Linked DNA regions of Caenorhabditis elegans. The protein of the gene in region 2 interacts with the protein of the main gene of each other region in a biochemical or structural test. Each region holds a gene or a part of one and is shown on either strand. Other genes may lie near its edges.

Region 1 (8,204 bases), on a different chromosome or scaffold from region 2:
CCAGTGTTCAACAAGAAATGACGATATCTCTATCCTTTTTTTCCCCATATCACTTGCACAGTCTCTTATCATCTTTCTCACTTAATGGTTTGCATGTCCTTAACCTTCCGTAGACATATCCAATTGAGTTTCTCCCACAGCTGTTGATCTTCGAAATGCTTCACTAACTGGTGTGAAGGTGGTGTGACTTCTTTTTTTTTTGAAGAGTAAGTGGAAGAATTGTGTTTGCATTTGGATTTAACTTCTTTTTCTTTTTTGTTTTTCATGTTTTTGATTCATGAGAAAAGTATTCATTCATTTGAATAATATGAAGAAAGTAGGGGCAATTTGGAAAAACGTTCATTCTATTTTCTTACTCTTATTTTAGGTATTCTTAATTACTTTGTGTATTATTTATACTACACAACTTTTTCCATTCATTTTTTTTTCTCAGAAATTGTGTTTTTTTTTGTTATTTGAATCGCACAGAAATGCTAGATTTTATGGAATATTTCTAAAATATTTTTGTTAAATATTGTTCTACAATTATCTACAAAAAGAAATTAAGAAAAATTAAAGAATAATAATGTCGCAGTCAAAAATGGAGCTTTTCACTTTTTTTCATTAAAACCATGCCTCGTGTTAAGCCATCCCTTTTGCACCCTTCGAACCTCCTTTTCTTTCCTTTTTCTCCGTTTTTCAGTCTCATTGGATTATTTTGTTAGTCTCTCTTGCTCTGCGAGCACTGCACTTTTTGAATGAGTCGGCTTTCAGACAAAACGATTTTTTTTGAAAATTTCTAGTTTTTCTTGAGATTCCTTTTCAAATTTAATTTTATCCAGTTTCACTTTTTTCAGAAATATAAAAATTGGAATATCAGAAAATCATCAGCTGCTACTTGTTCACTTTTTGTATTATTTGCTTATCTTTATTCTTATTTACTACTTGTTTGTGTAGATCAAAAACAAATTCGAGCAAAAATGAATCATCATGGAATACTTGACAAACAACTCGGTTTTTTTTAAAGGAAAACATTTCCGTTTAGGTTCATAATATTTCAAAAAGTTTAAAAATATCTTCTGAGCTGATTTTTAATAAGTTCAGAGCCAATTTTGAATTTTACGTTTGTCCAGGATAGTTGCTAAAGTTGCTCAAAAAAGTATGCCCACTTTTTTTCGGATTTTTCGGATTTGTTGTATATCAGCTTCTGCACAAAAATGAAAATCGTTGTGCTCATTGTGTCTTATCCACCTCTTGAAATGTCCAACTTATCCAATTTCACCATAACCTTCACTCTATCCTTTCACTATCAAATCTCTTTTTTGTCTTCCAATTTGTCAGTTCCTCTCGTTTCTTTCAATTGATACGGGTTAAAGGATGGGCTTTTGTTTGAACTGTATCAGCTCTCCGTATCCTTATGTTCTTCGACATTATTGACAATTGTATCAGAGATTCGTAAGATTGACTATTTGTGCTTTTCCTCCGCATTGTCTACTACATATAACTCTGAGCAAAAATGAGCAAAAAAGGTGATAGAACCAGTATAAAAAACTATCAGGGATGTAGAAAAAGAGATGGGAATTGTTCAAAATTGTATGTTTTCCGCTAAAACTATGGGCATCAAAAACTACATCTACATCGTTCTATGGTGATAAAACCTTTTAAAATTAGTAAAATTCTACTCTATAGAGTATATATTTAAATTTACATTAAGTTTTTAAAATGAGTCAAATGACTTTTTGAGTTAGACATTCTAAGATCTCGATCACTTTTTACTCAATCACCATGACTTCCCTTTTCTACTTTTTTTTTCATTTCGTGACGCCTTCATTTCAAGAACTCATCCGTTTGCAACCATTATCATTATTTTTATTCTTTTGAATTTTCGTTGAAAATAAGTAAACTTTCATAATCTGAACATGAGTCAGAAGATATCTCTCAAAATCTGGGTTTAATTGCAAAATGATGCTATCAGTTCTTGAGATTAAAAAAATAACGGTGAGGACGAAATTTTGACAAAAATAACAATTTTCATTGAAAATGTTCTTGTTCTATAGAAACGTTAAAAACCATATTGGAAATTTTTAAATTAGGTTTAACAATTTAATAAGTATAATTCAATTTTTTAGCTGACAGAATACATCTAGAAATGTTCATTCTCACAACACTGAAAAAACGAAAAATTATTATTTTTTCTTAAATTTTTATTTTATTTTTTTCCAAGTAGGCGCCGTAATCCTGACCTCGAGTGCCTTACGCCTCAACTTCAAGGCTTGAAATGTTTTTCGAATAAAACCTACGTTATTTGGAAGAAAATTTTTAACTGAAGTATTGAATGTTTAATTGTTTAAAATAGTTTTTAATTAAAATAGCATTGCAATATTTCTTCTCATCATCAAGAAACTTGCGTGATCTCCGTTTTTGAGTTGATCAAACAATGAAAACATTAAATAATATGCTTTGAAGCTATTTCCCTCGTGAATGCCACACCTAGACAATTTTAAGAGTATCGATGCATGTTTCCTCGAAATTTTTCATGATGAAAACAGTTCAAACAACAAATGTATTTTTTATCTCAGTCGATTTTTGAAATATTTCTTCTTTCCCTAAATCTGAAAAGGTACAATGCCCAATGTTGTATTCCTGCTTCATGTTCTGGTGCACAAAGAGCATCTTAGTACCGCCCACATTGTTCAAATAGATACCCACACACAGACAGCCGAATACCTCATCTTTTCGTGGCCTTTTGGAAAATTGCGTTCCAATCTCGTGACATGGACTTGATTAATAAATATAAAATCAGCTTCTTCCTAAATTGTTAAAATATAAAATAAGCTTCCGTTTTTCTTCTTGTTCTCTATTCTTCTTACCCTCTCATAATTCTTTTTTCTTCCGTTTGCTCTATATAAATTAAAATCCAATTAATTTAATACCAAAGGGAGTTCCAAAGTATAACACAAGCCTCCGCCCACCCGTGAGTGTTCAGGTGTTGTATAGTATAGATCACATTTTTAAAAGTTCTCTTTCGCATTTATTTTTTCGTTGGTTTTGATTTTAAAGATGACTTGAATTGTTATCTTATCTATTTTCGGTCTCTAACCACGGCCATACAACCAAAATAATGACGACAATTAATTGTAAGCTGATTATTTATGGAATCAACTAGAAGTATTCATTGATTTTACTGTTTCAGCGTTTTTGTTTTCAACTTAATCACGTCTATATATAACTTTTTGAAATTATTTAAATTTTATTTTCTTAACTTTTGAATTTAGTTCATTTATTTTAATGCCATTATTTAGAACTTGTAAGCTCCTAGACAAATAAATCATATATTTTAAACTATAGTTGTTATAAACTCATGGTATTATAGTTTTGTTTTTCAGTATGGAACATGCGACGTAGTATAAAATTCAAAAAAAAATTTAATTTCAAATTCAAGCTCATTTTTCCTTTCTATATTAAAAAATTTTTAAAAAACAATTTCCTAATTTTCTACAATTCTAAAGTGGTTCATTACTTTTTTTTAAATATCACCTGCTTTTAATACACATTTTTTGGAACAATTTTTCTTTGTAAATAACTTTTTACTTTACGTTTTTGAAAACATTCTCGATCTCCAAATCTTCCAATAAAAATCCAATTAAATTTCAGCCATTTACTACGTCACCGAACACCTTCTAAGATGACGTCAGCCTCATTGGCAGGCATATCAATATCGCCAATTGTGCCGGAAGAACTCGACGGCACAATAGCACCAATTGGAACACAACCAATGGACATCACATTAGCATTTGTGTTTTCTGCGATTTCAGTCATTGGAGTACTTGGAAACCTTTTAGTAATTACAGTTGTACTTAAAGTTAGAGGAATGGTAATAGTTGGAGTACAAATTGATCAAAATATTAATTAAAAAATTACAGAAAACACCAACTAATTGCTATTTAGTATCATTGGCCGCCAGTGACACATTATTCTTTTTTGCTTCAATGCCTCATGAAATGATGTATTTATTGGGTCCAAATGATCATTATTTATTTGGAAGTTTAGGTAATTACTTTTGGTTTTTTTGTAGAAAATTTTTGAAATTGGCTGTGAGCATTACGTACTTGAGATATTTCTTAATGATATGAGTCAGACTTGTGCTCGCTTCTTTCATTTTTGATTTCCTTTTGATTTATTTGCTGGTCAGGCTCTTATCAGAGAAGAGATTGATTACAGTAGTGAGTGGGCTTGTTTCCAAAAATAGAGATGTTTTCCATTTTGGATTCACTAAAATTATTTTCAGGTTGTGTACTTCTAACCTATCTTCCATATCTTGCAATGAACACTTCAAGTCTGTCTATTTTAGCGTTCACAATTGAACGGTATTATGGTATTTGTAATCCATATAAAGCCAGGTGAGAAAGTTTTGTTTTTTATTTTTTACTATACAGTCAGTTTCACTCAATTAATTTCCACATTATCAGTAACCGAGTGTGCACTAGAGCACATTTATAAAATCTTCTCTAAAGTTAGCTAAACTTGTTTAAGAAATTGCTAAAGTTGGTTGAGATGTTTCTGTGAGAAAATTCCCGGCTATTTTTGGTAAATTCCTGGCAACATCTAACCAATAATTAGCCCACGTTTTATTGAAAGTCAGAGTGATCCATCATAGTTTAAGGCAAAAAAGGTCTTGAAGCTTCACCAAATGTTGTAAATCCAACCTCGACTGTCTCACCTAAATTTAACACAAGTTCCAACTAGGTGTTGCACATTTATTAAACGCACAAAAATATAGTGCATCGTCATCCAAAAGTTTTGCGAGCATTTCATTCAAGTTTATATTTTGGGGCTAATCTTACGGATAAGTAACCGATTACTTACGAGATTTAACCTTTCCAATAATTTGCATCACTTCTTTTTCCTACAACCCAAAATCAATAAAAAACAATATTCCAGAACCATGTGCACTGTTAAACGCGCAACGTGTATTATCTGTGGTATCTGGATCTTCTCAATGCTGTATCATTCCTATTGGCTTTTCTTGGCTACGTTAATCAAAGATGATATTGGAACATCTTGTAGTTTTCGGTTGGAAAGAAATAGTCATGCTTACAAGGTAAACGATATTATATTTCAGTTTTTTTGTTTTCCACTTTTAACTTTATCCATGTCAATTTATAAATAGAATAACTTTATAATTTTTACTTTTTCAGATAGTTTTCCTTCTTGATTTCGTCCTGTGGTACGTGCTTCCAATTATGTGCGACATCATTATCTACGCAAAAATCGGTATCACTTTGAGTCAATGTGGAGATAAGATTAAGAAATCGGTGAAGCCGAAAAGTAACATAACTACTAATAATTCTCATCACAAAACAATGAGGTTTAGAAATTTCAGTACCAAATGAAGTGATCGTCGAAAAATCAAAGACATCGTCGACTTCAATGGGACATTATTCCGGAAGAGATTCTCATATTTCGGGGAAACGGAACTCGGCAAAAGGAAGAAATCAGGTGGGATCAAGTTTATAATCCTCCCTTTTTATTTATTTACTTTCCCAAATGTTCTTGGATTTGTGGTGTGAGGGTTCACAATTTTTTTTGGAAAAAAACTGAACAAATAAAATAACATTTTCAGGTTGTAAAAATGCTTGCAATCGTTGTGGCCGTCTTCGCAGTGTGTTGGCTTCCTTATCGTGGAATGGTTGTCTATAATTCATTTGTATCGGATCCAAAGTATTCATGGAGTCCTGATTGGTATATCAATTTGTCAAAGACACTTGTATTCATCAACTGTGCTATTAATCCAATACTATACAACTTGATGTCTGCTAGATTCCGTGCTGCATTCAGATCGTTGTTATCGAAAAGAAAGAATTCCGGATTTAAATGTGAGTTTTTAGTTTGACCAGCTAAATGGGTATTTTTTTAAAGAAAATTATTGGTAATTAAAATCAATAATTTCGATTCAGTGTGATCCCACTTAAATTTTATACATTGTTTTTAAAAGAAATGTGTCCACAGTTTAAATAATTGATCACTTTTTAGAACATTTCAAGAAAAACGTATTTCATGTTCCAAAAATGGTAATTTTCAACCAGCTCGTGCCTTTGCACCGACGAAACTTATCAGCTACCATACTCACAAGTATTGTGCATTTTCCGCTTACTCTTCTCAGTTTACTTGAGCTTTTTATCAGAAAGTTAAAGAAAATGTGTGGTATAAACTGATAAAAGTCTACTTTCGGTTACAGTAATTTTGCTCGTAGACTCAAAGCTGTGATTCGAAAAATTTATCTTTTTGATCAAAAACTTTGATTATGACAAACCTGATACATTTTCAGCAACAGCTTTGAACCAACGTCACCGATTAAACACAATGGATATAATGTCATCAGCTGAACCAAAATCTCCATTAATAACATCAATGGCTGGAACTCCGTGATACATTTCTCTTATTCCTTCAAATTATCTCCTTCTCATCATAGTGTTGCCTTTAATTTTTATTTATGGGTTCAAATTTCGCCAATTTTTAAATAATTATGTACAGTATGTTTTTTTCTCCCTGAACTTCTCATCATTTTACAACCGGGTAAAAGCACATTTTAAGAAAACCGCCTTCTCTGAAAAGTCACACATGTTTTATTTTATTTTTGTCTGTTTTATCATATTTGATAAAAGAATATTATTTTTTATTATATAAAAATCAATTATTTTTATTTGTTTTTTTTAATTTACAATTGGAAAAAAGGTGAAATGTTCTACAAAAACCAGTATATAGAAAATGGAAAGAAAACATTCGAAAATTGTGAGAAATTTTGGAATCTCCCATTATTTCTCACACAGAATATAAAGTTGGATGGCTGAAAGATCTAAAAAAATATATGTAAAATTTTGAGAAATTAAAATATTTTGTTAATAGATAAGTTCTTCACGTGTCTGCGTCTCTTGTTTCCTTCGTGGATCCAAGAAGTGTGGGTCATTTCCAGATGAATATGATGGAGATAATGGAGGTGGAGGTGCTCCATTCGGAGCAAGACGAGCACGTGGAACTGTAAATAATAGTATAATGGAAAATAAAATTTCAGAAAACTAAAAATGAAATATTTTTTATTAAACAGAAAATGTGTCAAATGGGTTTTGATTTAAAATTATTCAGTTTTTCCTTACTTTTAAGGTTTTTACTGAAAGTTTCCAGAAAGCTTCCCTCTTAAGGAACAATGCTACTAGAAGAAGAAGAAGCTAGAAGTGAAAAATGCATTCATTGTTTTGTTACATTTTTTTTCAACGTGAAAAGAAACTCAAAACATTATTGCGGAATTCTCAAGGGTTTCCACTTTTTTTACAAAATAAGTTGTATATTTTGCTGATGGATATTATTTTTTGATATTTCCAAAACATGTTTAAAAATAAACTAACTAGTTCCATAAGTCGGGTCAATTGGTGGAAGTGGTGAATATAGAGGATGTCCTATTCTCGGTTCATCAATTGGTAGTTGTCCCATTGAACCATTTTCATAATCTTTCTGTCCTTTTCTATTTGTGTCAACTCGATATCTGTATGTTGAGTTTGGAGTATGTGGTACGGTTGTTCCTGGTGGTGGTGGGTATGGTAGAGGACTTCCAGAGTATGGGGTTGAGTAGATTGCATCGTGGTGACGTGGATTCAACGTGCTGGAATAGAATTATTATCGGGCTGGTAAGTTTGTAGGTTAACCAAGACCAAAGTTTTAGTCAGTAAATCGTCAAAAACCTTACACAAATCCGCCTTTCACTACTTGGAGATCTGCTTTATACAAGTGGAGCAAGCTAGGAAACATGGATGTAAAAGAAAATTATTTGAACAAGAGGAAAACAAGTATTGACTTCAAAAACCGAAAAAAATTTAAAAAAATAAAAGAAATCCAAAATTGTTTTTTGGTTTTAACGTTAGGAAATTAATGACATCATGGACTTGTGTTGTTGAAAAAGGAATTCAATTCCGGACGACCAGGGAAACAGTCATTTTTAGGTTACACCGTAAATTCGCATCCCTAATACCGAGCAAATTTTTAATTTGAAACTTACGAAGGTGGAGTGATAACGTAGAGAGGCTCAATAGACTTGTAAGTTGCTGGTTTCGTAACTTCGTACTTTTCCTGAAAACAATTGATATTTGTCATTCAAATTTCTCTTTGATCATTGGCGTCTTTCATTTTTTCCCGTTAAAATTGATCGTTTGAAAAGTGACAGGATATCAAAA
Region 2 (7,245 bases):
AAAAAGACGAAAACGGAATTAAATTTACAAGTTTGCAATATGAAAGGGTACTTGTTGTATCCCCGCCATTTTAAAATTAAGTTATGTAAAATAAAAACATGCGGAGTAGTACGAGCAAACGAGCAAATAATTTAATCGACATCTTCCTATGTAAAAAAAAAACAACGTGAAACCTACCCAAAAACGTGGAAAAGTAGTACAATAAAAGTAAGCAGTCTTTGATTTTGCAGCGGTGGCATCAACATTACCAGAAGCTGCATCTTGTTCTTCTTCTCCTCCACCAGCTTCTTACTTCTCCTACTTCTCATCCCTTCAGCTGCCAACAGCTTTTTCGTCTTTCTTGTCCTCTCGTTTTTTGACTGCTGTCCTCTCATCTTCTCCCGCCCCTTCCATCTGATGACCGGAGGGCTAGTTCTGTGTCGGATTCTCTGATTCTCTGGGATTAATACGGTATTTTGGGCTACCCATGCTTCATGAAATATTCATTGCGTAATGTTCAGTTTCTCCACTTCCCTTTTCACTTTCGTTTTCAACCTTTTTTTAATTGAAAGCGAATTTTGTTCTGCTTTTTTGTAAATCTATTGAAAAACTAAAAGAGTGGAAGGTTGTGCGAATGAGTTATTTTCAGATATTCCATAAATCGAGGCAAGTGCCTTTACTCCCTCGTTTTTTGATCTAGAAACAGTATTGTGTTCAACTTTTTACTTGAGCATCTCAAGTTGAGATGAGCGTAGAATCGAGGTGGGTCAGTTTGAGCCGTTGAATTTTTGACGTTTTCATAGAATTCATGGTGATTTTTACTGTACGTGAAGTAAATTGTAACTTTTTTCAGTTTATGATACACTTGCATGCCTGGATGCCACACTGGGGTAAACTTTGCAGCCGTTTAAATAACCTCTTGCTTATTGACTCGCTTCAAAACCATATGCTTATCAAAACCAGAAAGCTTTTAAGCCGTTTAACAAAAGCTATTTTGTCAGCTATCCAAATGTAATTGTTTTCAACAAAATTCAAATCTGGCGGGCATTACAAAACATCCGTTGCTTCAAAAGTCCGGTGTAAACAAGCATACAGACATACAAAATATATTACAGCTTAATGATCTATATCCCCATCGCGCCCTTCTTTTTTCTTTCGGTTGCAGAACACTCATTTAAAGATAGATACACACATTTGGATAGATACGATCAGTGGACTACGTAGCCACACCATGGTTTTCACTTTTTCAGTGAAATAAATACATTCAGACGTAACGGAGGCTTAATTACATAGTTTAAATTAAAATAAAAGAGTTGCTAAAGAAAATCTGGGATCTAGAACCTATTTCTAAAAAAAATTTTAAAAATTTAGATGGTTTTATAATAATATAAAATTTCAATGTGAGGTCTCGAAGGATTATGAAAAAAAGTTCATGAACTGCTTTGAAATATAGGCCAGCTTGCTAAAACAACCATTGTAGCAGTCGGTTTTACTATTAATCAAGTCAAAACATTTTTTTACTTTTAATTCGTGATTAAGAAAATTATTCACAAGCCCATTTATTTCAAGTCGAGAAGTTATTACCAAAAAGTATAAAATAATTAATTGAAATATTTGGTTCGTTTCGCCGCATCGCAATGTTAAAAATATATAGAAAAAATGATATTAAAAATAAATACACACACACAAAAAGGGAGAGAGCAAATTTCAAGAAATAATTTTAACCGAAAAGTTCATTGGCACGTCGTCGGAATCTGCTCTCGTACATCACAGTTTCATCTGGATACTCAATTGGGAGAGATCGTTTTCCTGAAAAAAATTAATATTGATCTTCCTATAATTCCATATTCAGACAGAAAGTATTTCTCTCAAAAGTGTATCTATTCCGTAAATTGTGTAAAAGTGTAATCATGATCTCCGCGACCTTTTCCAGCCTATTCTATTGAAAACTGCCAGTGAAATCTGATCTAGCTCGAATTTCCAACTAGGAGAACATTTTCGCGCCTTTCTTGGAAAGGGAGATTTTATGAACTCCAAGTCATATTATAAATTGATTCGGAAATTTTTTAGAAAGAAAAGTGAATGGATGGCAGTGATTAAAATTTTTGTATTTAACAAGATGTGAAAGCTGCAACAATCAGTTTCACATATTTATGTAACATGCAGTATTTTTTTAGTTTTATAAATGAAAGTACACTATTTCTTACCGAAAAGTTCTCGTCCTCTTCTCTTGTTAAACATACTTGCACGTTTCAGAAGTCTCCTGGATGCATCGATTGAGTCCACTAAAAGTTAATTATTGTTGAAAGTAAAAATACCAAAAAGTGAATTGTTCAAGAATGTCAAAAAAAAAGATTCGCAATGATTCAAGCAAAATAAATAATTTATTTTTGATGGTGTTTTTCGATGTTTTTGGAACATTTGAGCTGAATGAGGAAGTATGCATGTTTTTGAGTGTCTAAACAAATTCAACAACATTTGGTAAAATACTTCAAGTGAATATGAAAATATGTATATTTGTCTTTCTCTTTTAGGACAAATTTTAAAATTGATTTTTCAAACTGCATAATAAATTCAGGTTGTTATACCTAAACAAGCTCAAGATCTTTAACCTCAAGTCTACCCGAGCTACAAAATATTTTTTAGTTTACCAAATCATCATAAATTCGCCAGTTTTTAGTTTTCCAAATCATCATAAATTCGCCAAAAATTTTTATTTTGAGAAATCTCACATTGATTAGGCATTACACGGAACGCTCTTAAATTCATCGGCTCCTCTTCGTCGAACCACATGGGTGAGGCGGCAACAATTGAGCATAGGGCTGAAAATTGTATGTTGGGGAAATAATGAAGATATGGGAATGATTCATATATTTCAAGTTTATCAATTTTTCATTTTGAGGTTCTCTCGCAGTCCCCTCGTGTTTTTTTCTTTTAAACATATATCAGCCAAGATAATTTACACGTGGCAAACATTGATACATATACCTATTTTTCAATCTGATCATATTAAGAAGTTACGGGAATACATGTTCTTTATTTTTAGAATCCAATGAATCCAATGAAAACAAATCTAACCCAATTATGCTTCTTAACATTTAACGTCATCAAAATATTCAGTATCGAAGTATAAATAGAGTGCGAAGCAAAACAAAAGTTTAAAACCGGATATGCGGTCATCTGGTATTTACTAGTAATCTTTCAAAAAGCAAAAGATCAAGCGATGGTAATTCAATCCAGTTCCTTATCTAAGTCTGACTTAAATGCAAGGTTTCAACTTAGAATCAATGTGAAGTCTGGGAAAATGTCAATGAACTCAAACGAAGCAAAATTTAAACAACAAATTGGACTGTAATCCATTTTTTCAAAAATTTAATTTATGGTATTGAGTTCGAGGAAATTTAAACAATTGAATATATGAATAGATCTCTATAATACCAAAAGAACATTTTAGTTACTCACCAAAAAGTAGCAGAACAACTGAGTAGTTCATCATTTTCGCTGTAGTGGGCAGAAAATAATTTGGTAAGCACACAACCACCAATAGAAGGCGTGCGCTTGAAAGTGAGAATGAATCTCATCGTTGCGGACCCTAAAAGATATATCACAGGGCGCGCGAGAAGCCACGCCTACCTATCACATTTCCAAACAGACCGCCCGTTTTTGAGAGCTCTCATCAAAATGGTGACGAAATAATTAGGGGAAGTGGAGGCGTTTGAGGATTGTTGGGCGATGTGAAAAGTATCGGTTACTTTGAGAAATGATGAGGTTGGTTTTTGGAAAGATGGATGAGACTGCTGCTGAGATAACGTCATATGGAACGTCATATATGGTTTGTAACGGAAGTTTTAAAATTTTAGAGAACTGAAAAAAAATGAAGCGTTCTCATATTTGCTGTAAACAATTGCAACAACTGTCAAAATTCCAAAAATAGACAATAGAAATGGTCAGCTGTGAAATATCGAATATCTGAAAATGAATATTCATTCACGGAAGCCATGAAAACTACTGCATTGAAAAATGTTACAGAGTAGTCATAAGTTATTTTTAAGAAGAGGTCGTCTTTTTTTTGTACTCTAGTTGACAAATTCTACCAATAAATAAATATAGATAAAAGGGGGGAAATTGTTTTTAAATGTAGTATTTGAGCTCAAACATTCATTCATTGCAAGGGAAAAAACGGGAAAATCCGTTAACACTCAGCATTTTTGAAAAATTGACAAGTTTCTGAAAGTGGAAATGAATTATATTCCACGACATGGCCATTTTAGGTCAGCAGAATATTCATTCAAATTTCCTATGTTAAAACATTATTGATTTTTTTTATCAGACAGTTTAAGAAAACTGAGAGAAAGGAATTGTCTAAAGTATTTATTAAAAATACAATACAAAATATAATAAAAACTTGAACGATCGTCATGACCTGGGATTTTTAAAGTCAAATTTCAAAGGTTTTTTTGTCGACAAAGCTCTCTCCCGTCACGCATCGCGCGAGTGGAATGCCTGATTTTAATAGTATAAATGTAAATAGCAATTTGCGTTTACAACATCTAGCGGCAATGAATGATCTTGAACATTGACAATTGACAGGAGCCTCGAAAAAAATTCCGAGATAATCCATAAGCAAGTCACGTTGTATTCAACTGATTTTAATAGATAAATAGTGTAAAAATTCTAGCAATCGGCAAATAGAACTTGTTGAATTAAACACACGTGACTAATTCCTATTTTTTGTTTTCTATTATATCATTTCTATATTTCATTTCTCGGTTCGACGCTTCTTTTCTTGATTTTTGTACAGTTCCTAGCTAACAGAAGGTGAGTAACACTTTGATTGAAAAAGAATGTCTTTAAACGAGACCATTTAATATTATACCGCTTTTTTGATTTAGAACTTGCTGAATTAATTAACAAAAACAAAATACAGAACGGATAATCTGTTTACAACATTTCTAATTAGGTGTTTTCGGGACGCCTTTTTTTAAAGCATAAGAACACTTGCCCTTCCTCTGCTAACAGAGCGTTTCTATGTGTTTACTCAACGTTTTTTCACCAACAAAAACATTTCCCGTAAACGCATTAATACCACTTTTACAAAAATAAACATAGTTTTTCTAGCAGTGCACCTTTCTTGCAAAAGTGCAACAATTTTACGACATACTACTTTTTTTTAACGGATAGTTGGACGAACCAAAGTTCAACTTTCTGTAATGACCTAGTCTACAAAGCAAACTTTACATAATTAGTTGAATGGTAAGTGTACCGTTTTTTTAAAAATAATTTCGTTTCGAATCTAGAACTATCCGGAACAGAGCCATACCGTCGTTTTCGCATAATTCTTGCCAAGTTCCTCTTGAAAACCGGATAAAGTGCGGGCGCCCGTTGCCCATTTCCTATTCCTCCCACCCCAATCCACTGATATTTGATATCTTATTTGTACCTCTAAACTCTCTTCCATTTACCCACACTCTCAATCTTTCCATATTTTTCTTTCACTATCTGCTGCTTTTAGTGGACTGTCCACTTTTATTTGACTTCCGTTTCTTATATTGGCAAGTTGAACACATTTTTACACTGAAATTTCAATTTCTTTAACGTAAAAAGTACAGATCGAGAACTTTATTCTGGTTTTTAAAATACCTGTTTTCCATCGCTCTTTCCTAAGTTTTTATTAAATTACAGTTTCAAAATAATACTCTACATAAAATGATGTCCGAAGGTCCTGTTATGTTCGATACAGTACTCTATGGTGTTATCTCAGTCACGGTTGTCTCATTATTATCCTTGGGTGGTGCATGCATTGGCCCACTAATGACAAAAGATGCAAAACATCGGTGAGCTTGGGTTGGAGTTGAAACTGTATTTATTGCCAAATTTTAAGATGGCTACATTTTTTTTTGGCAATGGCCGTGTCTACACTGAGTTCGGATGCAATTCTACATATAATTCCGCAGGTGAAATTACTAATGATTCAAAAATAATGCCCTGACTTTTTCGCACGCTAAAGTTTTCTTGCATTTAAAGGATTAAAGTTTCCAAAATATAAATTAAGTGAAAAAGTTTTGATTTTAGGTTGTCGGCGTCCATGATCATGGGCACAATCACGGACATAGCCATGAACATCATCATGAGCATACAGATTTGGAAAATGGAACATCAGGACACGGGCATAGTCATCACCATGATGATAGTGACCGCATTATGGTGAGATATCATTTAAAATAGTATCTTTGCATTTCTAGAATTTTCGAAAAAAATTTGAAATTTTTCTGAACGAAAACATTTTAACTGAAATTAATTTGGAATAAACATATTTCAGTGGTATACCGTCACACCTGCTCGTAAAAATCTTCTTCGTCTTTCTGTTATTGTTCTCTCCATCTACATTCTCTACTTTGTAGAGTTTTTCATGTTCTACAGAAAGACCCATCTCGTGAGTTTCATCCCAAAACCTTTTGCCACAACTTTACCTTTGTAGCACTACTGTTCCCCTTCTACAAAGTCGCCAGTTATTACATCTTCAGTTTCCACACACTCTGACATCAAATCTTCAGCTTCAAATCATAGTATAACTGGTAGCGAAGAAGATAATAATAATGATTCATCGAAAAAAGAAAGAAGAAATAGTGTTGAGTTGGAGAAGCGCAGAGAGCAAGGAGGACACGAGCTGATCAGTTTAAGAGAGGATGGTGATGATGATGGTACAGAGATTTGCGGACTGAAAGTGAGTTTTATTTGAAATAGTTGGACGGTACTACAACGACAATTCCAGCCCCGAGCATTGATAATTTTATTCGGTGATGGTGTACACAATTTGGTCGATGGTCTTGCAATGGGAGCTTCATTCATGATTTCCGTGAAACTCGGATTCATAACAACCATCGCAGTAATTTGTCACGAACTTCCTCATGAAATTGGAGATCTGGCGGTGCTCATAGATTCTGGGCTTTCAATGTGTACAGCTCTTATTCTAAATTTATTATCTGCCCTGACTGCATACGCCGGCTTGTTCATTGCAATCGTTCTGGGAAGAGATGAAGAAATTGAGACCATCCTTCTGGCGATCACAGCTGGAATGTTTTTGTATGTTGCCTGGGTGGATATGGCAAGTTTAAACACATTGATTGTATTTAATAATTTATATTATAGCTTTCACATCTGAAACATGATTCTCTTATGGCGGATCACTGGATGGTGACAAGTATATTACAGCTCTCTGGTTTCACATTGGGCTTTGCGCTCATTTTCGGATTAGGATGGTTTGAG

The links. Proteins that work in one complex are often made in the same cells at the same time.
Region 1: the proteins of trh-1 (region 2) and trhr-1 interact in a test that uses a peptide from one of them, tested with the Caenorhabditis elegans proteins (one large-scale study listed by BioGRID).

What each region holds. Positions count from the first base shown.
Region 1 is NC_003279.8:6,985,434-6,993,637, forward strand, and holds trhr-1 (Thyrotropin-releasing hormone receptor), read left to right. Parts: upstream 1-3,633; 5' UTR 3,634-3,664; coding exon 3,665-3,853; intron 3,854-3,902; coding exon 3,903-4,029; intron 4,030-4,267; coding exon 4,268-4,379; intron 4,380-4,920; coding exon 4,921-5,080; intron 5,081-5,177; coding exon 5,178-5,307; intron 5,308-5,362; coding exon 5,363-5,478; intron 5,479-5,602; coding exon 5,603-5,855; intron 5,856-6,307; coding exon 6,308-6,408; 3' UTR 6,409-6,675; downstream 6,676-8,204. Other genes in the region: C30F12.5 (AbLIM_anchor domain-containing protein), read right to left, coding at 6,879-7,015, 7,383-7,636, 8,030-8,100.
Region 2 is NC_003282.8:17,364,898-17,372,142, reverse strand, and holds trh-1 (THR-like peptide hormone), read right to left. Parts: upstream 3,536-7,245; 5' UTR 3,476-3,535; coding exon 3,442-3,475; intron 2,802-3,441; coding exon 2,712-2,801; intron 2,265-2,711; coding exon 2,187-2,264; intron 1,789-2,186; coding exon 1,700-1,788; 3' UTR 1,525-1,699; downstream 1-1,524. Other genes in the region: C30H6.5 (Apple domain-containing protein), read right to left, coding at 178-374; zipt-17 (Zrt (ZRT), Irt- (IRT-) like Protein Transporter), read left to right, coding at 5,686-5,813, 5,861-5,933, 6,052-6,183, 6,299-6,412, 6,458-6,703, 6,752-7,084, 7,129-7,245.